Linked DNA regions of Elephas maximus indicus. The protein of the gene in region 1 purifies or fractionates together with the protein of each later gene. This does not show direct contact. Links are inferred from orthologs where the notes say so. Each region holds a gene or a part of one and is shown in the gene's direction. Other genes may lie near its edges.

What was found. The genes of interacting proteins can lie anywhere in the genome.
Region 2: the proteins of SGF29 (region 1) and ATXN7L3 purify together in Homo sapiens (affinity purification with mass spectrometry; 8 studies listed by BioGRID and IntAct, counting the BioPlex papers as one, with this or other methods). This does not show direct contact. The link is inferred for Elephas maximus indicus from reciprocal best matches to the Homo sapiens genes SGF29 and ATXN7L3.
Region 3: the proteins of SGF29 (region 1) and TAF6L purify together in Homo sapiens (affinity purification with mass spectrometry; 4 studies listed by BioGRID and IntAct, counting the BioPlex papers as one, with this or other methods). This does not show direct contact. The link is inferred for Elephas maximus indicus from reciprocal best matches to the Homo sapiens genes SGF29 and TAF6L.

Annotation. Positions count from the first base shown.
Region 1 is NC_064830.1:89,011,158-89,019,179, forward strand, and holds the start of SGF29 (SAGA-associated factor 29), read left to right. Parts: upstream 1-4,669; 5' UTR 4,670-4,848; intron 4,849-8,022. UniProt on the Homo sapiens protein: Chromatin reader component of some histone acetyltransferase (HAT) SAGA-type complexes like the TFTC-HAT, ATAC or STAGA complexes.
Region 2 is NC_064837.1:50,721,824-50,729,425, reverse strand, and holds the start of ATXN7L3 (ataxin-7-like protein 3), read left to right. Parts: upstream 1-4,185; 5' UTR 4,186-5,414; coding exon 5,415-5,606; intron 5,607-5,906; coding exon 5,907-6,039; intron 6,040-6,234; coding exon 6,235-6,406; intron 6,407-6,588; coding exon 6,589-6,686; intron 6,687-6,874; coding exon 6,875-6,897; intron 6,898-7,200; coding exon 7,201-7,267; intron 7,268-7,417; coding exon 7,418-7,503; intron 7,504-7,602. UniProt on the Homo sapiens protein: Component of the transcription regulatory histone acetylation (HAT) complex SAGA, a multiprotein complex that activates transcription by remodeling chromatin and mediating histone acetylation and deubiquitination.
Region 3 is NC_064825.1:125,925,055-125,933,133, forward strand, and holds the start of TAF6L (TAF6-like RNA polymerase II p300/CBP-associated factor-associated factor 65 kDa subunit 6L), read left to right. Parts: upstream 1-4,662; 5' UTR 4,663-4,749; intron 4,750-8,079. Other genes in the region: POLR2G (DNA-directed RNA polymerase II subunit RPB7), read left to right, coding at 1-45, 162-227, 341-412, 613-646, 835-848. UniProt on the Homo sapiens protein: Functions as a component of the PCAF complex. The PCAF complex is capable of efficiently acetylating histones in a nucleosomal context. The PCAF complex could be considered as the human version of the yeast SAGA complex.

The DNA of each region.
Region 1 (8,022 bases):
GCCATTATCGCTATCCTCATCCAAAATATTCCACCACCATTAACTTAAACTCAGTGCTCTCCCCCAACAAAAACTCCCCTTTTCCACCTTCCTTCCACACCTGCTAACTATTAACAATCTTAGGTTTCTATGTGTTTGCTTATATTTCATATAAGCGAGATCATCCTTTTGTGACTTACTTTGCTCAGCACAGTGTTTTCAAGGTTCCTCCGTGTTGTGGCATGCACCAAGGCTTCATTTCTCTTTATGGCTGTATAATATTCCATTGTATGTATATACGACATTTGTTTATCCATTCATCTGTTAATGGGCATTTCTTTCAGCTGTTTCCACCAGTTTGCTATTGTTAAAAGTGTTGCAATGAACATTGGTGTACAGGTTTCTGTTTGCGCTCCTGTCTTTATTCATCTGGGTACATACCTAGGACTGCGATTGCTGGGTCATATGGTAGTTCTATGTTCAACTTTTGAACCATTTTCCACAGTGGAGGCACCATTCTACACTTCCACCGACAATGGATGAGTGTTCCAGTTTCTACAACCTCGCCAACACTTGTTTTCTCTTTTTTTTCAATCATTGCCATTCGAATAGGGGTGAGGTGATATCTCATTGCAGTTTTTATTTGTATCCCTCTCCCCCAACAGTTATTCTTTATCCCACTACCCTGATTTTATTTTACTTTCTTCATAGCATTCAGTCATTGCTAATCGAATGTATGTTTTTATTTGTTTACTTCTCTATTATTTGTCCACTAGAATGCAATGATTGGGTCTGGTTTAGTTACGGTGAAGGCAGTAGGATCTGGAGCCCTACTGCCTGAGTCCAAAGCTTGGTTCTGCCACTTGTTAGTTGCATAGGCTTCGATAAGTTATTTAGCCTCTCTGTGTCTCTCAGTTTCCTTTGTTAAAAATGGGATTAATAATGGTACCTACATTGTGGGAGTATTGTGGGGATTAAAAGACCAATTCTTATAAAGGCTTAACACTGTGCCTAGAACATTGTAACTGTTCAACAAACGTTAGTTATTATTATCAGTATTAATTGGGGAAGGAATCTTTTTTTTTAATTGTGCTTTAGGCGAATGTTTACAGAGCAAATTAGTTTCTCATTAAACAATTATTACACATATTGTTTTGTGACATTGGTTGCCAAACCCACAATGTGTCAACACTCTCACTCTCTTGACCTCAGGTTCCCCATTTCCAGTCGTTCAGGTTTCCTGTCCCTTCCTGCCTTCTTGTCTTTGCTTTTGGGCTGGCGTGCCCATTTAGTTTTGTATACGTGGTTGAACTGCGTGTGTTATCGTTTGCTTTGCTTTATAGGCCTGTCTAATCTTTGGCTGAAGGGTGATTGTCTTAGTTATCTAGGGCTGCTATAACAAACAGAAGTTTACTCTCTTACAAAATAGTAGACTAGAAGTCCGAATTCAGGGCACCAGCTCCAGGGCACCAGCTTCAGGGCACCAGCTCCAACTCCGCTCTAGAGGAAGATCCTTGTCATCAATCTCCCCCTGGTCTAGTAGCTTCTTAATGCAGAGACCCAGTCCAAAGGACGCACTCTGCTCCTGGTACTACTTTCTTGGTGATATGAGGTCTCCCTGTCTCTCTGATTGCTTCTGTCTTTTATATCTCAAAAGAGATTGATTTAAGACACAACCTAATCTTGTAGATTGAGTCCTGCCTCATCAACATAACTGCCTCTAATCCTGCCCCATTAACATCATAGAGGTAGGAGTTACAACACAGAAAAATCACATCAGATGCCAAAATTGTGGACAATCACACAGTACTGGGAATCATGGCCTAGCCAGATTGACACTTGACACTTATTTTAGGGGGACACAATTCAATCCATGACAGTGAACTTCACGAGTGACTTCAGTACTGAGTTAAAAAGGTATCTTGGGGTTTCTCCAGTCTCTGTCAGACCAGTAAGTCTGGTCTTTTTTTGTGAGTGTGAATTTTGTTCTACATTCTTCCCCTGCTCTGTCCCAGAAACTGTATTGTGATTTCTGTCAGAGTAGTTGGCGGTGGTAGCCAGGCACCATCTACTTGTGCTGGACTCAGTCTGGTGGAGGCTGTGGTAGCTGTGGCCCATTTGTCCTTTGGACTAATCTTTCCATTGTCTTTGGTTTTCTTCATTTTTGCTTGATCCAGACAGGGTGGGACCAGTAGATGTATCTTACATGGCCATCCAGAAATTTTAAGACCTCAGACACTACTCACCAGAGTAGGATGTAGAACATTTTCTTTATAAACTATGTTATGCCAATTGAGCTAGATGTGCAATTCAGAGGTCCATCGCCACGGGTCTGAATAAGTAAAATATGGGTGCCCACTATGAATATTGCACAGTCGTTCTAAGTAACAGGTTAGGTGTACCTACAACAAGAACAGGTCTTAAAAGTACTGTGCTGAGTGGAAAAAGTAAGAACTAGAATGAGGTTTATAGCACAATGCCATTTAGGTAAATTAAAAATACATGCACACTAAAGGAAGAAAGGAAGAATGAAGAAAACTAAAAATACAAGGGAAAGATTAGTCTAAAGGACTGATGGACCACATCTGTCACGGCCTCCACCAGTCTGAGTCCAGTACAACTAGATGGTGCCCAGCCACCACCACTGACTGCTCTTACAGGGATCACAATAGATGGTCCTGGACAGAGCTGGAGAAAAATGTAGAACAAAATTTTAACTCAAAAAGAAAGGGCAGACTTGCTGGCCTGACAGAGACTGGAGGAACCCTGAGAATACGGCCCCTAGACACCCTTTCAGCTCAGTAAGGAAGTCATTCCTGAGGTTCACCCTTCAGCCAAAGATTGGACAGCCCCATAGAACAAAATGAGACTAAAGGGGCACACTAGCTCAGGGGCAGGGACTAGAAGGCAGGAGGGGACAGGAAAGTTGGTAATAGGGAACCCAAGGTCAAGAAGGGAGACTGTTGACACATCCTGAGGTTGTTTACCAATGTCATAAAACAGTATGTGTCGTGTTTAATGAGAAGCTAGTTTGTTCTGTAAACCTTCATCTAAAGTACAATTAAAAAAAAAAATACATGCACACTCAACCATGCCCATGTTTCACAAGGATACACATGTACACTATTGGGGGAGGAGGGAAGAGTGGAGAAGGGATAGAAGGTTATTAAAACATAAAATGAGAGGGCCGTGCAGAGCCCAATGACGACAGTGCACCATGAAGTGAGAAATATGAGTGTCTCGACCTCTGTACCTGGATTAAAAAATAAAAATCTTTTGCAGTTATGCAGGCAAGGGCAGAGGCAGCATGAAATTGGGTGAATGTGGCAGAGGTGAAAAGTGGGTGAATTGTGTTACAGGAATGAATACCTGTAAAGCGTTTTCAATAGTGCCTGATACATAGTAAGTGCTCAACAAATGTAAGCAGATATTTTTAAATTGCAGACCCTTAGTGACAGATTAGATGTGGGAGGGGAGGAAAAGGGTGATGCCAAGGATCACTCCCAGGTGCTGGCTCCTGTCATTGTGCCCAGTAGGAGGTGAGGAAATGAAAACCGACGATAAATAATTCTTTTGAGAAATCTGGATGGAGCGGGGCGGGGGGCGGGGGTGGGGGGGGCGGAACAGAGCTATCCCTTCTGTGTGCAACACTCTAAAACACTGTTTTTTTTTTTAATTATCCAAGTAATACATGTTCATTATAGAAAAATTAGAGATTAAAGATACATCAGTTGCCATCAAGTGAATTCTGACTCACAGCAACCCCATGCGTTTCAGAGCAGAACTGTGCTCAGTAGTTTTCAAAGGCTGTGATTTTTCGGAAGGAGATCAGGTCTTTCTTCCGCAATGCGGCTGTGTGTATTCAAACCGTCATCCTTTCAGTTACTAGCCAAGTCCGGGGGCTAGAAATTAACGTTACATTAAAAAATGTATAATTGTGAGCCCCGAATTTCTCCTGATGAGTAACTGGGGGGGGGTCAATATTTAATCTTTAGGAGAGAAAGCCCCTGAGACCTTTACAAACACAAAATTTGCAAAGTCACTGCTAGTACAACCTTCATAAAATGTAGTATATAGAACTGAGACTGGTTAGATGCCATTTATTGAGATAGGGACTACAGGAAGAAAGCTTGATGGAGGAAAATCATATGTTAAGTTTTGGGCTGAAACGGCTGCAGAGTTGAAGTTTGAGATACTCTAATGAACAGAAAAGTATTTACTGAGGTCCTAAATTTTTTTTTTTATTATTATGTGCCAGGCACTGTGCTAGGTACTGGGAATACATAGGTAAGACAAATGATCCCGACCTCATGGAGCTGGCCAGTCCACCAAATAATCAAATATACATATCAAACTTTGGTAGAGGTTATATAAGAAATTACAAGACACTATGATATCCTTTGATAAAAATCTTTGTAGCTAAATGTTTGTTTGCCCAAACCCTTAATATCTTCCTGGGGAGAATTCCGTGTGATTTCTGGGTCTAAAAATATGCCCATTTATACATACATATATATGTGTTTAAATAGATGTTTTTGGGAATTGAGAGAGGACACTGAAAACACACAAGGACCCTGGTTTATTAAGATTCAGCTGAAGAATCGGAAATAGTGTGTCAAAGTAAAAACTACATTTCCCAAGGGACAGCACGGCACGTCACAAAAGGCCGGACCGCGCAAGCGCACGGGGGTCCTCCCGCTGCGCCTCGGTTCATGAAAGAGAAAAAAGCGCGTGTGAGGCTTGACGTGCGGCTAATCTTCGAACGCAAGTGCGTTATCTTCTGCGGACCCTGAAGAGGTGTTCAAGGACCGCGCCTGTTTCCCGCTGTCGCAATTTCCAGCGCGACGTGCTTGTTTCGTCAGTGACACGGTAGGTGGGATGGGTCGCGGTCTGGGACCTCCAGAGAATCGCAGCCGCAAAGGGCGGAGGTCCCCCTTGGCGTCTCCCCTCGGGCCCCGCCGAGGCGCTGCTGAGAGGGATGCGCACGCGCCCTGGGTAGGGAGGGGCGGGGCCGGGCGGTGGCACGCTCGGCTCGCCTTGGGGTCTGCGCCTGCGCCCTGGCGACCCCGGGAAGAGGGTGGGAAACGGCGGGTTGGGAGCTTCGCGAGGACGCTGGGTGGCGTCCGGCAGAGGGTGGGAGTGTGGTTGGAGGTGGGGTGTTCAGCTCAGGTGCGAGAAATATTGAGGATGGGCCCCGAACTCGAGCAGTATTTTTTTTTCTCAGAATGTACCCATCTTAATAACAAAATAACCTCAGCCACCTTCCGGATACGTCCAGTTATTTTATTTGCCTGCTCCCCTTTGTAGGCAAAGGTTTTGGTGTATACTCACTAGCACCTCTCCAGTCAGGCACCCCCCACCCCCCGCCCCATCTGCTGCCCTACAGGGTTGCAATGAGTTGGAATGGACTCAGTGGCAACGAGTTTTTGACTCCATTGAAATAGCTCTTATCAAAGCCACCAATGACCTCTAGTTAGCCAAATTCTGTGTTAAGTTAGTTGTCAATACTTAAGCATTCTTTGATGCAGTTGACCACTGCCCCTTCTTCATTTGTCTTCTGGAACATTCTCTTAGGCTCACCTCTCTCCGACCTCTCCTCTTTCGTCTGCTGTGTTTGTCTCATTCACTACTGTATATCGCTCATGCCTGGCATAGAGTAGGTGCTTGATAAATAATTACCGAAAGAGTGAAGAGGGGAAGTACCTCTTCTCTACAAGTGGCAAATAGAGAAACCCCTTAGAGTGTATTGGTAATGATTAATTTTTTTCTATTTTCCTGAGACGGGGGAGATGATTTTTGAAGAGCTCATCTCCAGAACAGTTGCCATATTCCAAAGTTGAGAGAATGTTCTAAGGGGTTTCCAGGGTTCTATTCAGTTGAGCAATCCATTTTGAGGACATAGTAGGTGCCAGGCACTGGGCTGGGTATTGGAATATAAAGATGAGTAAAAATCCATTCCTCTCCTGTAAAAGCTCAGGAGAAAGTCTGGTGGGAGAGACAAGGCCTTTCCAACAATCTTATTTGGGATGGGGGTTGGAAGACTGGAACTGTTCAGTGCAGCTTTTGTAGGTAGGGTTAGTAGGATTGTTGGAGAACTGCTGTCTAGGGTCTGAAGCAATATCTGGGCAGTGTTAGTAGAATGTCCATTTGATGAATACTTGGCTCAACCACTAGACACCCTGTTCTCAGTGGGTAGGTCCATTGGAGTCCATGGTTATTATGACCCTCTTCCTGGAGCTAGAAGTGGGGACATGTGATAAGGCAAAGGCTTTTTTTTTTTTTTTTCTGATTTTTAAATGTATGTGTAAAGATTCTTACAGAGCTTTTAAAAATAAATCTCATTTAGTTAGAAGTTTGATGAATCACCTGCATTGGAAAAAAATACTTAAGTTATGTCACTTCAGGATTTGTAGTCATTATAAGGTGCAAGTTCTAGAGCGTGGTTCTAGAATGGGTTTGAATCCCACTTCTGCCGTTTATTAGTTGCTTGACCTTTGTAAAGTTTCTCCAATACTCAAGTTTCTACAAATACTAATTTAATAGGAGTGTTGGGAGGATTAAGTAGAATAATTTACATAAAATTTACATAAAAACACTTAAACCAAACCCTTTGCCATCGGGTCTATTCCGACTCATAGTGACCCTATAGGACCGAGTAGAACTGCCCCATAAGGTTTCCAAGGCTGTAAATCTTTACAAAAGCAGACCTCCACGTCTTTCTCCCAAGGAGCGGCTGGTGGGTTCAAACTGCTGACCGAGCGCTTTAACCCCTATGCCACAAGGGCTGCTTAGTAAGGATTAGCTGTCATTATTACCTTGATTTTCCTACCTCTTTTTCTTCAGATGCCACAGTGACCACCACCTTACTGGTGATAATTTCTGTAATCTGTCAGTGTAATCGCAATAACAGTTTACAGGAGACACAGTGCTTCTACTTCCATGATCTCTGTGCTGAAATTTGGACATAACTTGCAATTAGTTGAAAGAGCATAGATTTTTAGCTTGCAGTCTTGCATTCCAGTCCCAACTCAACTGCCTGTATTTCCTAGCTGAGTTACCTAGCATAATTTAGCCTTTCTAACTTCAGTTTTCTACATGCTGATAGCTACCTATCTTATAAGACTGAAGTAAGATTTAAATGAGAAACTCCGTGTAAGCTCCAATGCAGAAGCAAGGCAGGTACTAAAAGCAGAAAAACGCATTGTTGATTCCAACTCATAACAACCCTATTGCACAGAGTTTCCAAGGAGCAGCTGGTGGATTCAGACTGCCCACCTTTTGGTTAGCAGCTGAGCTCTTAACCACTGCACCACCAGGACTCTATGGCAGGTACTAGGTATTGAAAAAAAAAAAAAAGTATTTTCTGTTCTCAACTTTTTTTTTTTTAAACAGTTGAATGTAGATTCTCATTATTAGTGACTGGATTGAGGGTGTGAAATCTGAGTGTAGAGTTTTAGGTGCCTCCTTTCTCTTTGACTCAGGACAAGGGCTCTGGGTTGTCACAAGCCTCGTGGGATTAATTTTAGATTGGTTTATGTACTGGATGTTTGGATTTGTTTATATGAAGCTTTGGCCACTAGTAAGTAGACAGATGGTCACCTTGGAGCCAGAGAACAATTTTAGGCTGGTGTTTAGCAGTTAATATATACAACCTTTGACATAAGAATAAACTGTAATTTTGTCCCTAAGAATAGCCCTAAGAATAGAACAGGCCCTGCCATTGAAAGTTCCTATTATTAGTCAAGGTTCTTAGTTACTTAGTAATAAAAAACTAACCCAAACTAGACTAAGCAGAAAAGGGGAATTTATTGACTCTGTAGGGTCGCTATGAGTCGGAATCGACTCGACAGCAGTGGGTTTGGTTTAGTTAGGGTTTAACTAAAGAGTTAGGGGCATTGGTGGCAGAAATCTCACCTTCCATGTGGGAGGCCGGAGTTCAGTTCCAGCCAGTGTACCTCGTGCGCCGTCTCCACCTGTCTGTCAGTGGAGGCTTGAGTGTTGCTGTGATGTTAAAGAAGTTTCAGCAGAGCTTCCACACTAGGG
Region 2 (7,602 bases), on another chromosome or scaffold:
AGTCTTACCATGACCCTACAAGGCCAGGCCCCTGCTCCTTTCTCCCACTCCAATATTCCCTATCACTCAAGTGATCCAGCTGCGTGATAACTTTTCTGTTCCTCAAACATGCCTACCACAGGGCCTTTGCACTTGATCTCTGCCCATAATGCCATTTTCCTGACTCTCTACATAGCTGGTTTTCTCATCCTTGCCTCAGCTCAAAGGTCACCAGTATAGACAGGCCTTACCTGACAACTTTCTCTAGCGACCTCCTTCTACATCTCAATGCTTATGTATTTGTTTATTGGCTATCTCCCTTATCAGCTTGTTTGTTAACAGTAATTCCAGCATCTAAAATTGGCATACAGTAGTCACCCAAGAAATATTTGTTGAAGGAGTGGATAAATATGGCCCACAAGTCCCTGGAAGATCTGCTGCCCCTAGTGACCTCTCTACCCCAACTCCAGCCATATCAGCCTTCCATGCCTCAGACCCAACACACTCTCTTCCACAGCCAGCATACATGCTGTTCCCTTTGCCTGGAATATTCTTCATCACCTCTCTGCCTGATTAATTCAGGGCTCTACTTCTTCACATGTTATCAGGAAGGGTCAGTCCCTGGAGAAGGACATCACGCTTGGTAGAGCGTCAGCAAAAAAGAGACTCTTAATGAGATGGACTGACACAGTGAATGGGCTTAACCACAGCAATGATCGTGAGGATGGTGCAGGACCAGGTAGTGTTTCGTTCTATTGTACATAGGGTACGTAGCTGCTGACTCAACAGCACCGAACCAAAACAACAACTTCAGTGGGACCTTCCCTGATCCCCTTGACTAAAAAGTTCTCCATGTCATGTTTCCTTAGCAGCCCGGGTGCCTTCACACTCAGGCTTGTTTGTTCCATGTTAGGCTTTGCTGAGCCGTAAGCTCCACAAGGATGAGATCTATGTGTCTCTCTTGGTCATGCTGTAACCTCAAAGTCTCAACCAGAGCCAGCGTGTGGCTCAGTCTTTAGTGTTTATTGTCTGATGCTAACTGTGGAGACCAGACACATGCCCAAAAAGGTCACTACCACAGAGCAGCCCAGGTCAAGGGCGGAATGAATAATATAGTCCAGTTATAGAGAAGTTCGGTGTGAGAATGGCCATGAGTGGGGATGTGAGAAAGGATTTAGGTAAACAGGCAGGAATCAGGGAAGCTTCCTGGGGAGGTGCATAATCCTTAGGATAGGACATAGGGGGCACATGTAGGGACTAAGAAACAGAGGAACATCACTGGAGTAGAGAATTCCTGAAGGGGAGGATGGGAAACACAACTAGAAAGGTAAGTTGAGGCCACCCTGTGGAGGTTCCAGAAGCCCTGACTTCACTCCTTTGCTCCAGACCGAAGTTCAACCACCTTTTGAGATTCTCCACTAGCTGGTCCCACAGTAAGCCCAACATGACCCAAATTGAACTTGTCATCCTTCTGTACCCTAGTATCTACTCCTTGGAATTTCCCATCCTGGTTAAAAGAGGTTTTAGGGCCTCCCTGTTCTTTACCCCACATACTTCAATCACAAAAACCTGTTGCTTCTAAGCTATTCTCCATTACCACAGCCAGAGTGATACACTTAAAGTGCAAATCTGGTCAAATGCCCATGGGGCTGAAACCAACAAACTCCTCAGCACACCGCAAGTCTTGTGTGATCTGGCCTGCTCATCTCCAGCTACTCCCCCACCCACTCCAATGTACCAGCCAGTCCCCGACCTGATCCATACTTTTGAAACTTGCTATTTGGAATGCCTAGTGTCTTCTTAGGAGCCCTAGTAGTACAGTGGTGGAGCACTCAGTTGCTAATTCAAAGGTCAGCAGTTCAAAACCACCACCTGCTCTGCAGGGGGAAAGATGTGGCGGTCTGTACCTGTAAAGATTTACAGCCTTGGAAACCCTATAGGGCAGCTCTACTCTGTCCTACAGGGTCGCTGTAAGTTGGAATGACTTGATAGTACCCAAGAGCCTTCTTGGCTTGCCTTTAACCGTTTCAATGAGCCAGCTCAATCATCTCCCCAGCACAATCATCTTGCCTTCCCTGACCAACACTACTCTTAAATCACTATCTCTTCTGGCCACTTCTGTACCCTGTGTGTACCCCTCTTCTTATCACACCATTTTGCAATTATTTTTTTTATAGGTCTACCTACAAGGCTGTGAACTTCTTGGGAAATACAACTGTCTTATTTCATCTTTGTATCCCAGCACCTGGTGCACGGTGATAATAAGTTAAGATTTACTGAGCACTTACTCTGAGCCGGAGCCCTGGTGGCACGGTGGTTAAGAGTTTGGCTGCTAACCAAAGGGTCAGCCGCTCCTTGGAAATCCTATGGGGCAGTTCCACTCTGTCCTGTAGGGTGGCTGTGAGTCGGAATCCACTAGACCGCAACAGATTTTACACTGACCTAGGAATTTCACAGGTACGACTTTAGTCCTCACAACAAACTAATGAGATAGGTACTAGGTATTATCACATGCTCTGACAAAGAAGGAAGGTCTGGCACAGAAAGAGAACTGCCCAAGTCCACACACTAAAGGCAGATGTAAATTCAGATCTGACTCCTGGTCTTAACTATCTGGGAATAAATGTTTGCTTAAGACTAAAGAGCCAATGGTGCTCCCAAATAATGTGATTTAAAACTTTCTTCCCTTAATCTTATCTCCCCAGGAGAGAGGACTGTCAGACACCGGCTCCAGACACAGAGTAACGGAGATGGAAGCGCCACCCTACACATCTACTGCAGCTGTGAAGGGCCCTTTCGTCCAGGAGGTAAAGGGGGACGGTGAGGTGCCCGGACAGCGGACTTGGACACGCCCAGGGGAGTAGCACTGGGTGGGAGGATTGGTCTGGCCAGTGCCAGGCCGAGTGAGAGGTGGGGGTCCAGCGTGGGTTCCGGGAGCAGGAAAGGCGAGCAGGTGTGGGATCTAAATTAGGATGAGGGCAGGGAGGCGCTCCGCTCAGAAGGGCTCAGCTCGGCCCCCGCCCTCCGCGGAGGACCCTAATCTCGGCTGCTTGTAGAGTCGCAGGCCTGGGTAGAGCTGCCCAGAAACGGAGAGCGGAGGCTCGGACGACCCCGCTTCAGTCTCCTGGGTTTCCTGCCCTGAGGCCCTAATGCGTTCCACTTTAACTTCGGCCCCTTCAGAGTAGTGGCTGCACACTTCAGGGTAAACGCCGGCGAGGGGAAAGGGCCGGGAGCCCCGAGGAAAGGGCGGGGAATCCTGGGCCGGAAGGCGTCCCAGGCTCGGCTGGGAGCCGGCGCTCTCTTTCGACGCCACCCGCTGCCCCCGCCCCCGAGCCGGCCGGGACGGCACAACGTCTCCGCCTCCAGCGCACCGCGCACCTCACCTTGAACGCCGCTCCACCCACTGCCATCCTATTGGGCCGCCGGGGCCGAGGCGACATGACGATTGGCCGGACGGCCAGCGAAGGCCCCGCCCCTCTCCCCGCCCCCCTCCCCGTCCGCCGGTACTTTGGACGGCGGCGTGGCGCCCCTCCTCCCCGCCCGGTCCCCGCCCCCTGGAGCAAATGCTGCCGAGCTGCGGCCGCGGGGCAGATGCACGCGCTCGGGCCCTTCTAGCAGGCGCGAGCAGCCGCTGGGCGCGCGAAAGCGAAAGAAGGAAGAGGAAGGGAGGGCGGGGGCGGGGTGTTGAGGAGGGGCGGGAGGAGGAAGAGGAGGAGGTTGGAGCGCGCTCGCGCTTGGCCTCGCGCCCGCGCGGAGGGAGGGGGAGAGGGGCGCGCGCGCGCACGTTCGCGTTCTCGCTCGCTCCATCCATCCATCCTCCGGTCGCGGCACGCGCGCGCGCTCCGGGCTCGCGCCGCACCCCCCGCCCGGGAGAGGCGGGCTGGAGTGGGGGGCGGGGGGAGGGGCGCGCGGACGGCGCGCGGACTGCGCGCGGGCGGGGTGAGGTGAGGAGGAGGAGGCGGCGACGGGACGAGAAGGGAGGGGAAGGGGCCATGGCCGCCCGGTGAGGCGGCGAGGCGGGGGGGCAGCCCGACCCCCCGGCCCCGGGCCCTGGGCCCCGGGGAGAGGCGAGGACGGACCGACGGACATGGGGCTCCGGAGCAGCCGCCGCCGCCGCCGCCGCCGGAGGACGCGGCCCTGAGAGGCCGCCGGGCCCCGGCGCGGCCCCCCGGGCGGGGTGAGTACGGGACGGAGACGGGGACGGGGGAGGGGCCTGCGGGGGGCGGGGCCCGAGGCGGGGCTTGGGCCCCCTCCCCCCAGGTCTGGGTCAGCGCCCCTTCCCCTCCCCCCGGGCCGACGCGGAAACGCCCGGCTTCCCGGCCCGGCCCGGGCCCCCTGCTTTCCCCCTGTCTGGGTCCCCCTTGGGCGGGGCAGGGCCAGCCGGGGAGGGGGCGCGGGGCCTTTGTTAGGGAGCCAGGCCCCAGCCCCCCGGACAATAGAGACACCCTCCCGGACTCCCTCCCCGGCCGGCCGGAGCTGTCGGCGGGCAGGGAAGGAGAGGGGCCGGGACGCGTCCCACTCTGCCTACTCTCTGGGGGTCGGGCTGTCCCGGACCGGCGCTGGCCTCCGGCGGCTCGGCTCTCCTCCCCCCAGTCGGTATGATGCAGCAGCAGTGCCGCAGGGACGGGGGAAGAGCCGAGGCCCGGCCTCCTATCCTCCCCAGTGCCCCTGGCTCATTTGTCAATCCCCACCCCACTCTAGGCCAGCAGCTCCTCAAACTCGTACCCTCCGCTGAGAGGGGCCCCGGACTCGGGGCGTTGTTTCTGAATCCTTTGGTGGGGGTTCCTGGACTTTGAGGCTCTTAGAGAGACTTCCGGGCTGGTCCTGAGGGAGGGAGGGTGGTTATCTAAAAGAAGAACAGGTAAGGGGAGTGCCCACTCCTGGCATGCCATCCCACCGGGCCACCCCCCTCTTGCTCACAGTGGTTAGAAATGCCCCTTAGCACTGGGCTTCTGTGGGCTCTGTTCCCCTCCCTTAGTGGTAGGCTTATTTTAAGAGAAGGCAGAGTGGGGTGAAGGTTGTAGGGGCCTAGGACCATTTCTACTTCTGGTAGCAGTACCCCCCCAAGTGGACATCCCGGCTGAAAGCAGAGGTGACTCTGAGGAGAGCCTTTAGGGAAGGGGGGGGTGTATTTAGGAGTCTGTGCAGTTCTTTGCCACACCCTGTGGGTTTGCTTTGAGGCCTTAGAGTTCCTTCTCCTCCCCCTGCTGCATTGCACCATGGGTATCAAAGAGGGGTTTGAGTTTTGGGGACCTGGGGTGAGCTGCTGCCTCCTATAGAGCTAGATCTGATTGGCAGTAGATAAAGAGTCCAGAGCCTAAGCTCAGGCCTGGGAAGGACTAGGCCACCTTTGGGTTTCCAAGCCCTGGAGGACCATCCAGAATTAGTGAGCCTGGGCCTTGGGGTAGGAGAGACCCTGGTGCCAGGATTAAGCTATGGGCTTAGGTGGGAGGGGAGGTGGCAGTCTTCAGAGGTACCTTGGACTCATACCAACGCCCACCCCCCCATGTGTACAGCCGTGTTGCCGCCCGCTGTGCTATGAACAGTCAGAGTGCCGTCTCCACAAGAGTTTACAAATGAAAATGGAGGAAATGTCTTTGTCTGGCCTGGATAACAGCAAACTAGAGGTGAGGGCTCCCCCACGTGTGCCTCTAGTTCTTTCTCTTGATGTCTCTACGTCGCTATATCTGGCATCCACACCAAAGAGGAATTTGGGTAGTCAGCTTTGTTTCTTAAAGGGAATAGCCAGCCGAAAAGGCCCAAGGATCCGGGAAGAAGAAAGAACACAAAGTCAAGATGGGGAAAATGGCAAAGAAAGGATTATTTTTGGCCAGGGTGAGGTGGCAGGAGATTTAGTTGGTGAGAGTCACGACTAGTCCAGGGGGCTGTGACTCTTGTGACCGTGGATGTTCTCCCCTGGGACCCAGGCCATCGCTCAGGAGATATATGCGGACCTGGTCGAGGATTCTTGTTTGGGATTCTGCTTTGAGGTACACCGGGCTGTCAAGTGTGGCTACTTCTTCCTGGATGACACGGACCCTGAGAGCATGAAGGATTTTGGTGAGCTTCCGGGTCAAAGGAGAGCAGTCTAGCTTTGCCCTGGGAGTGCTGGAGCTTCCTTCTCCCGATGCTGCTGCACTAGATGTACACCCCGGAGCTGAGGCGGGGCATTTGAAGAGGCCTTAAGGCCACGGGTGGGGATAAGAGGGGAGGGTACCCTGCCCACCCTGATCGCTACGCCTCTCCTGTCCCCAGAGATTGTGGACCAGCCGGGATTGGACATCTTTGGACAGGTTTTCAACCAGTGGAAGAGCAAGGAGTGTGTTTGCCCCAATTGTAGCCGCAGCATTGCTGCCTCCCGCTTTGCTCCCCATCTGGAGAAGTGCCTGGGAATGGGTCGGAACAGCAGCCGCATCGCCAACCGCCGGTGAGGGTCACTTTCCCTACTCGAACCACAGTTGCTCCCCTTGTGCAGCCTGCACTATGATGTCGTTCTCAGCATTTGTAGGCTACAGAGGGTGGTTTGTACTCGGTCCTACGTGCTCTACTCTACCTCTGAAAGCGAGGGCAGAGGGGCCTTGACCCTTTTCCCTTCCCCACTCTTGGCAGGATTGCCAATAGCAACAATATGAACAAGTCTGAGAGTGACCAAGAGGATAACGATGACATCAATGACAACGACTGGTCCTATGGCTCGGAGAAGAAAGGTGTTTGGGGATGTGGGGAATCTTGGTGGGCTTTGAGGGGGATGTGGACAGGCAGTGATTGGGTATACGGCGGCAGTAAGTTTTTGTCTTGAATAATGGGGGGAAGAGTGAATTTTGCACTTTTCTTTATGTAGTCTTAGACTGGAAGCTGAAAATAACGGTATTCTTTATCATTTTGTTCTGTACAGCCAAGAAGAGAAAATCAGACAAGGTGAGAGCTGGGGCAAACATGAGGGAAATTGGGGCGAAGGACAGATACCCTCCCCTTTGGGCAGGGAGTCCTCTCAAGGGTATCTTGACTCAAGTCTAAGGTCACTGGGGGCCTTTCTGGGTTCGGGAGGAGGGTGTCTGTAGTGGGCAGGAGGGCAGCAGAGGCCTCGGGGAAGCGGAAGGGAATATGGGTAGGTGGGTCTTACTGGGGAGGAAGAGTAAGAATTTGAGGATGTTTCTTTGTCAAATCTTTTTTCCTTCCCTGGGTTCTCGGCTTCCCCTTATCGTTACCCTTTCCCCAAAGCTATGGTATCTCCCATTCCAGAACCCCAATTCCCCTCGAAGATCCAAGTCTTTAAAACACAAAAATGGTAAGTGGGCTAGAAAAACGGGAGTGCTTCAAGCTGTATCTTCTGGGACTCATTGCTGGGGGGTGGAGGTGGGGGCCTGGAGGAACAAGGGTATTGAGGGAGGGCCTATGATCCTTCTGTCACCCCCACTTCCTCTCTGGTTATTTTCAGGGTTCTCTGTCTGTACCTCTGCATCAAACACCCTTCCCCTTCTTTTTTCTTCTTCAGGGGAACTTAGCAATTCGGATCCTTTTAAGGTGAGTAAAGGCTGCCCCTCTTAGGCTCCCTTTCATTCTCTTTGTTGGAAGTTGATTGAGATTTGGGCAATTGGGGAAGCGAGCTATTTGTCAGGGAAT
Region 3 (8,079 bases), on another chromosome or scaffold:
CTCTTCACAGAAATTGGACCCATGTCCTGCTTCATCTCTCGACATGTAAGTCTAGGCTCTTGGTGGAGGGTGGAGGGGGGTTAAGGAGGAGAGACATCTGTTCATGACTATCTATTGGAGCTTTTGTTTACACTGCTGACCCAGCCTGACCTTCTTTTCAGTCCATCCCATCAGAGATGGAGTTTGATCCTAACTCAAACCCACCGTGTTACAAGACAGTGGATGAGGTGAGTGGGTAGGTAGAGGCCGGTGAAAGAAGAGAGGCAAGAAGGAGCTACCCTGAGGGAGGGTATTGGCCTGGGGGTGGTGGCCGGAGTACACTGTTCTACCCTCTCTCCAGGACATTGTGATTCAGCAGGATGATGAGATCCGTCTGAAGATTGTGGGGACCCGTGTGGACAAGAATGACATAGTGAGTCTCTTGCCTGCCTCCCCGCCTGTACTGGGCAGAGCTGGGAGCTGTTGATTTCTTACCATCCAGAATGCCTGGGGTTTCTGGGCTCTTCTGCCAGGAAGAGAGGATGATGGGTGGGCAGAAGGCCTGGGGCTGGGAGGTAGGGGTGGGCTTTTGCTCTCCTTGGCTTCATTTCCATTTTACCTCCCCTCTTGCAGTTTGCTATTGGCTCCCTGATGGATGATTACCTGGGTAAGTGCCTGAGCTTGCATGCCGGGGCTGTTGCCTGAAAAGGGGTGTGGGGCCTGGGGAGGATATGGGGCTAATGCCTGAGTCACAGACATAGCAGCTTTCATGCTGTGTGCCCCTTCGAATGGGAAGTACACAGATGGGGCCCCCCAAGCTTGGGGCCCACTGATGTGCCTTTCCTGTTTTTACAGGACTTGTGAGCTGAGCACAGGGTCTTCCTACCTTGTTTGGTACTGATTTAGGAGGCGTGACTGTCACACTTTCCGTGTTGTCCAGAGGAGCGGCTGGCTGCTGTGGGGAAAGCAAGGAAGGTTCCTTGTCACCAGAGGACATCTGGGTCTACTTCTGGCTTAGCTGCCACTCCCAGAGTTTTTACTTTGTTTTTGAACCATAAAAGGTCCTTCATTCTCATGTAAGCGTTATCCCCTTCTTTGGTAGGAGCAACCACTCTTTTCGAAAGGCCCTGGGACTAAATGCTCCTTAGCTCCTTTTCTTTGGCCTTATGCTTCAACCAGCCTCAGCTACCCAGGGATCTGACTAGACCATTTGCCAAGGTCAGAAGTTGACCTCATTGAAAGCAAGATGCTAATGTTGGGTTGGCTTTCAGTCAATGATACCATTATTAGAGTCATTCTGAGTCCTAATCTTGTTCCAGAGTGTCCCCCCACCCTTAAAAATACCAAGGGTATAACTGGGAAAGAGAGAAGAGGGGATGGCAGGTAGAGAGGTGACAAGAATAATGACACAGATTTTGGGGTTCTAACACAGCTAGGATGGGTACATAAACGATAGAATTCTTTATTTGCTGGTTGATCATTTGTGAATTCCACTATACTAAACTGAATTGAAGATGTAAAAGGGCTTATCTCTAGTTACTCAACTCTAGTTATGAGTAACAACAAAAATCCATGAAATGACTGCACGATTAGGCAAACACACCCACCCTTTCTCCCACTAGGCCTTTGCAGTGCTATTTGTCCACCTCGGAATGCCCTTGCCCAACTTGCTAGCTGCTAATCTCTCAAATCTCAGTTCAATTGTTCTTGTTGTGCAGCTTTCCCTGACTTCCTTGGGAAGCAGAGCTGTGTGGTAGAAAGCATTGGATTTGGACTGAAACAGATTAGCTGGGTTACCGTATGTTTTCTGATTGTAAAGTAGCCATAAAACCACCTTTGGGTGGTTGCTGGGAGGCTCAGATCATATATGCAAGTGGGTAGCATACAGCCTGGCACATGATAGGCACTCAGCTGTTAATTATTATTATAAAATGCATATAAAAGAGTGATTCTCAGCCAGGGTGATTTTGGCCCTCCCCACCCCGGGGAGGGGGCACATTTGGCAGTGTCTAGAAACATTTTTGGTTGTTACAACTTCGAGGAGGGTGCTAATATCTTCTAGTGGGTAGAGGCCAGAGATGCTAGAAAACATCCTACAGTGCACAGGGCAGCCCCCCCCGCCCCCACAGTAAAGACTTATCTGGCTGCAAATGTCAAATATGCAGAGGTTTAGAAACCTGGATATAAAACATCTGCAGCAGTGTCTGGTATGTGGCGATATGTACTCAAACGTAGTTATTGTCCCCTGCCCTTTACCACCCCTGGGCAGACCGAGGCTCTTCCCTAAACATCCCATTCATACCTCTATAAAAAAAAAAATTTTTTTTTTTATAGTGTGTCACAAAACATGCTGTTGTCATTGCCTTCTCTTTCATTTTTTTCTTTATAATTTTTATTGTGCTTTAAGTGAAAGTTTACAAATCAAGTCAGTCTCTCACGCAAAAACTTTTATACACCTTGCCACATACTCCCAATTACTCTCCCCCTAATGAGACAGCCCGCTCCTTCCCTCCACTCTCTCTTTCCGTGTCCATTCATTTTTTTATTATGTAAAATTTTCTATTTTAAATTTTATTGCGATAATTACGGATTCATAGGTACCCCTTTCATTTTGTATCCCTCGCTCCCAGTTCGGGTAACAGAGGAACATTTCAGTGCTGGATTTGCAATGAATTTTCCAAAGGAAACAATGTTACAGTTGTGGTTGGCACCACTCTGCTGTAGTACCAGTTGATCGTACAGGGTTTGGAGATTTTCCCTAGACCCTAATTATGTTGTGTGTCACTGAGGGTAAAATTCTTCCCAAGTTCTCAAATGGAGCCACCCATTTATAAGTTGTGTAGGGGGTGACCTGGAAGTAACAGCAGGCCTAGAAGGAAGAGACTGATGGACAGAGAGGGGGTCATGGAGCCTGAGTGTAAAGGCACCATGAGGATTTGGGGGTGTGGCACCAAGAAGGTTGGCACAGAGTGGGGAAGGGAGCAGATGGGGCTGCAGATGGTCTCTAGGACTTCTGATCTTTTTAGGTTGGTACTAGAGGAGAATCTGAAAGTTACAGCCTCTTGAAGAGATCAAAGGCTAATAGTAACAGTAGTATGTGCCTGGCATCATGCTAAGCCTTTACAGAATTACCTTATAGAATCTTCACAAAGGTTCCATGAACTAACATGCCTAATGTCACACAGCTAGTGAATAACGGAGTTAGTGATTTTTTTTTTTTTTTTTTTAACTAAAGTCAGTCTGACTCTTGCCAGGCAATGAATGGCTAGCGGGTGAATGGTGGCCATCTTTCCCCCATTTGTGGCCAAATGGGTCTCACTACTACCTTCTCTGGCCCCTGCCTTCACTCATGTTGGGGGCAAATGAGCCCCAGACGGCTTGTACACAGCTTCACAGCGTTTGTCTTCCTCCCTCCATTGCTTCATGCCTCCAAGGTTGCCAATGGCAGTCCATACCAATAACACCTCAGGGAGGAGATCTGTCAACAGCCCAGAGCCTGCTGAGCTGGTCTCAGACCCACGGCCTTAGAGGAGGGCCCTTTCCCCTTTGCCTCCTCTTTATGCACAGGTGGGCAGGCACTCTAGTGTTCAAGCACAGAATACTGAACCCTCACCAAATGTCATTGTGGATGAGACTCAGCAGGGTCACAGTCTCCTCAGTGGTGTTGCCATGGCAATCCCAGCCACATCCATCCGGCCGTCCCTGCTCCGGTCCCAGAAGTTCTTTCGTATGGGCAACAGCGTCTAGCCCTCGAGTGGAGGAAGGAGAGGATGTGGACATTCATGCTCCCCTAAAGAAAGCTCCTTTCTATAATGAATAGCCCGCTGCAAAGGACCCCATCTGGGGTGAACATAAAGGAATCCACTGTCTCCTTTGTGATGTGTGAGGAAGGGAAAGCTCAACCAGCAACTCAGCCAGGTGCTTCCAGACATTTAATCCATAACAACCCCAGCATCATTACCCCATTTTGTAGCTGTGTAAAAAGTGATTGGATAGCCTGCCCAAAGTCAGTGTCAGGGTTTGATCCCAGGTCGGTCTGACTCTAAATACCATCCTTTATTCAGTAAATTTAATACTTGTCAATTAAGAACTGCCCAATCGCTGCTGTCGTAGTCAGAGTTCGGGAAAGATAGTGATTAACGTGTGTGTAAAACAGTCAAGGAATTCTGAGAGGCAGGTGAGGGTTTATACATGGTTCATTGGACAGGAGTGGGGAGGACGAGTTAGGATGCCAAATAAGCAGAGTTCCGGAGTCTGGTGCTGGCATGGGATGTTCGCCTTCTTCCCGCAGAGAACACCTACCCAAGCCTCATCCATCTTTTCACGAATAGGAAGTGGCAAGTGATGTTAGAGAGGTGGGCAAGAAACGAAGCCAGACACCAAAGCCCAAAGCTTCGCTGCAGTCGCGAAAATGCAAGTGCTAGGAAACTCGGGAGCAGGAAATGGTGATGCTTCCGTGGAGAATAGGCTTATTAAATGTACGCCGAAGCGCATACAGCCACTTGCACAACTAGCAAGTGCCGTAGCTCAGGGGCTAGGCGTTTCACCGTCACGTGACCCCGGCGCCCTGGGTCCTTACGGCGCGCTCACAGGGGCCAATCACGTGGCGAGAAGCCGCCTGGAGGGCGGGAACTTCGCACGGTGCCCGCCGATTGGTTGTGCTCATGGAGGGCGGGGCCCGGACACGGAGAGAGGGAATTAGTGTGGAGAACCGGGTGAGTGGGAGCAGCCGCCGTGTCGTAACCCCCTTCGCAGCGCCGGAGCCCTCAGGTGAGCAGCCTCTAACCCGGCCCAGGGGCTCCCCGTTCGCCACGGGGTGCGCACTCATCAGCCTTTGAGCCCGCTCCGCCTGGGGCCCGCCCGCTTCACCCACCACGTGACCCAGGTTCGGTGGCTCCTGACCCTCTTCCTGCCCCCTTCCCCGCCACCTCTAGGTCTGGGATGAGCAAGGCCCGTTGAGGTCAGCTCCCACGCCCCCTCGCTAGTGTGGCTAGTGGCCGAACCTGCGGAGGGCAGGAGGCTTGGTCACAGCCTGCACTTTGTGGGGTCGTAGTTTAATGTGGGCAGGAAGGAGGCCTGGTGGCCCAGTGGTTAAGCATAACCTGCTAACCAAAGGGTTGGCCGCTAGGACCCCTCAGCCGCTCTGTTGGAGAAAGATGTGGCAGCCTGCTTTGTGAAGATAAACCCAAACCAAAAAACCAAACCCGTTGCTGTCAAGTCGATTCCAACTTATAGCAACCCTGTAGGACGGAATAGAACTGCCCCATATGGTTTCCAAGGAACGCCTGGTGGATTTGAACTGCCGACCGTTTGGTTAGCAGCCATAGCTCTTAACCACTACTCCACCAGGGTTTCCTCGTCAAGATTACAGCCTTGGAAACCCTATGGGGCAGTTTTACTCTGTCTTGTAGAGTCGTAATGAGTCGGAATCAACTGGAGGGCAGTGGGTTTGGTTTTAATGTGAGTACGTAACTTCCTCTGCAGCTTTAGCGGGGGCAGGACTTAATGCTCCCATTTTACAGATGGGGGAACTGAAGCTTAACAAGTATCCATTGGCGGTTTAGGGTCACCAAGTGATGGGTCTCCAGCACCAAGACGGCAGATCGGCACCCTGTTCCCCACACCGCCAGCCACTCCTGTTATGGTGTAGTGTGATGATTAGGAACAAGGGTTTGAGCCCTTGCTCTCCACTTACTCAGCGCGCACCAGATGGTCTTGGAGGAGTCATTTAATCTTTCTGAGCTTTGATTTCCTTGGTTGTGAAATGGATACTTAAAAAAAAAAAAGTCACCCATGGTGTCCATTCAAATACGATTCCGACTCATGGCAACCCTGTGTGTGTCAGAGTAGAACTGTGCGTCAGTGTTCCCAGTGGCTGATTTTTCAGTTGTAGATCACCAGACATTTTTTCCACGGTTTCTCTGGGTGGACTCAAACTACCTACTTTTCGGTTAGCAGCCGAGCACTTAACCATTGCGCTACCAGGGCTCCTATAGAAATGAACATAAAATCCTTTGCAATAAGTCCATTCCGATTCATAGCAGCCATATGGGAAAGAATAGAACTGCCCTATAGGGTTTCCGAGGCTATAATCTTCATGGACCCATGGACGCAGCAGTCAAGAAATCAAATGATGTATTGCATGGGTCAAATCTGGTCCAAAAGCCCTCTACAAAGTGTTAAGATGCAAAGATGTCACTTTGAGGAGTAAGGTGTGCCTGACCCAAGTATGGTATTTTGAGTCTCCTCATATGATACAAAAGTTGAACAATGAATAAGGAAGATCAAAGAAGAATTGATGCATTTAAATTATGGTGTTGGTGAAGAATATTGAATATACTGTGGACTGCCAGAAGAACTAACAAATCTGTCTTGGAAGAAGTACAGCCAGAATGTTCCTTAGAAGCGAGGATGGTGAGACTTTGTCTCACATACTTTGGACATGATATCAGGAGGGGCCGGGCTCTGGAGAAGAGCATAATGCTTGGTAAACTAGAAGGCCAGTGAAAAAGAGGAAGACCCTCAGTGAGATGGATTGACACAGAGGCTGCAGCAACAGGTTCCAACGTGGCAATGATTGGGAGGATGACACAGGACCAGGCAGTGTTTTGTTCTGTTGTACATAGGGTTACCCTGAGTCAGAACTGACTTGATGGCATCTAATGGCAACAAATCTTTACGGAAGCAGACTGCTACATCTTTCTCCTGTGGAGTGGCTGGTGGGTTCGAACCGCCGACCTTTTGGTTAGCAGCTGTGTGCTTAACCACTCTGCCATCAGGGCTCCTTCCGAAATGGACATAGTACCCACAGAATACCTACCTCATGGTTAGGATCGAATAGGTAATCTATATAAAGCACTTAATGTTAGTGCCTGAGGCATAGTACAGGCTCAAAAAAAAAAAAAAAAAAAAACAAACAGTTCTTTAGTCGTTCTTGTAGCAAGTGTTCATTGAGGGTGTATCACGCACCGACCCTGTGCTAGATGCTGGGGATGCAAAGGTGAGCAAAGACATTGTCCTTGCCCGCATGCAGCTCACAGTCTAGTGAGGAGGCAGTTGTTAAAAGTTACGCCAAAACGGTCACGAAAGGAGAGACTGGAAGAAGGGAGCGGGCTGACTTCTTAGGGGGAGAGTAAATGGGAGTATGTAGTGAGGTGTATATAAGCTTATATGTGACAGACTGACTTGATTTGTAAACTTTCATTTAAAGCACAATAAAAATTATTAAAAAAAAAAAAAGAGAAAAGTGAACAGAGAGACAAGGGGACCTCATACCACCGAGAAAGTAGCGCCAGGAGCAGAGCTTGTCCTTTGGACCTGAGGTTCCTGTGCTGAGATGCTCCCAGACCAACGGAAGACTGATGCATCACAGGGACCTTCCTTCAGAGTCAACAGAGAGAGCCGGCACCCTGAATTCGGACTTCTAGCCTATTGGACTATGAAAGAATAAACTTCTCTTTGTTAAAGCCAAAAAAAAAAAAAAAAAGTTTTGCCAATTTATCATTACAAACTGGGATGACTGCTCTGAAGGCAAATGGAGCGACAGCGGGGGTCTGGGATGACTTCCTGAGAAAGTGACGTTTGAACTGACATCTGAAGGAGTGGGCGGGAGCTCACTAGACAAAGGAATTGGGGTGGAGGGCACAGAGGAGAGTGTTTCAAGCAGAGGAAATAGAACGCACAATGGTTCTGTGGAAACTAAAGGAGGCTACTGGTGTGAATGCAGACACAAGAGGGAAAGTGGTGAGACATGTTGGAGGAGCAGTCGGCAGCCCCTGCAGGCCTTGGGAGCCATGGTAATGATTTCTTCTTTATTCCAAAAGGCCATGGGGACCAGTGGGAGGAATGCTGCTGAGAAGCCAAGCAGGGTGGCCATTGGATTGAGCAACCTGGAGGTCATTAGTGACCCCAGTGAGCACTGCCAGTGGAATAGTGGGCGTAGCACCCTGAATGGGTCACCTTGCTACCCATGGATCTACCTCCTAAAGTGTGGCACCCATTGTTGGAGTCAGTCATCAGCTGCTGTTTTGGGTGGGTTCTGACTCTGCCATATCCTGTGGACAGATGAGCAGGTCTGTGTTTTCAGGCCTGCAGGCAAAC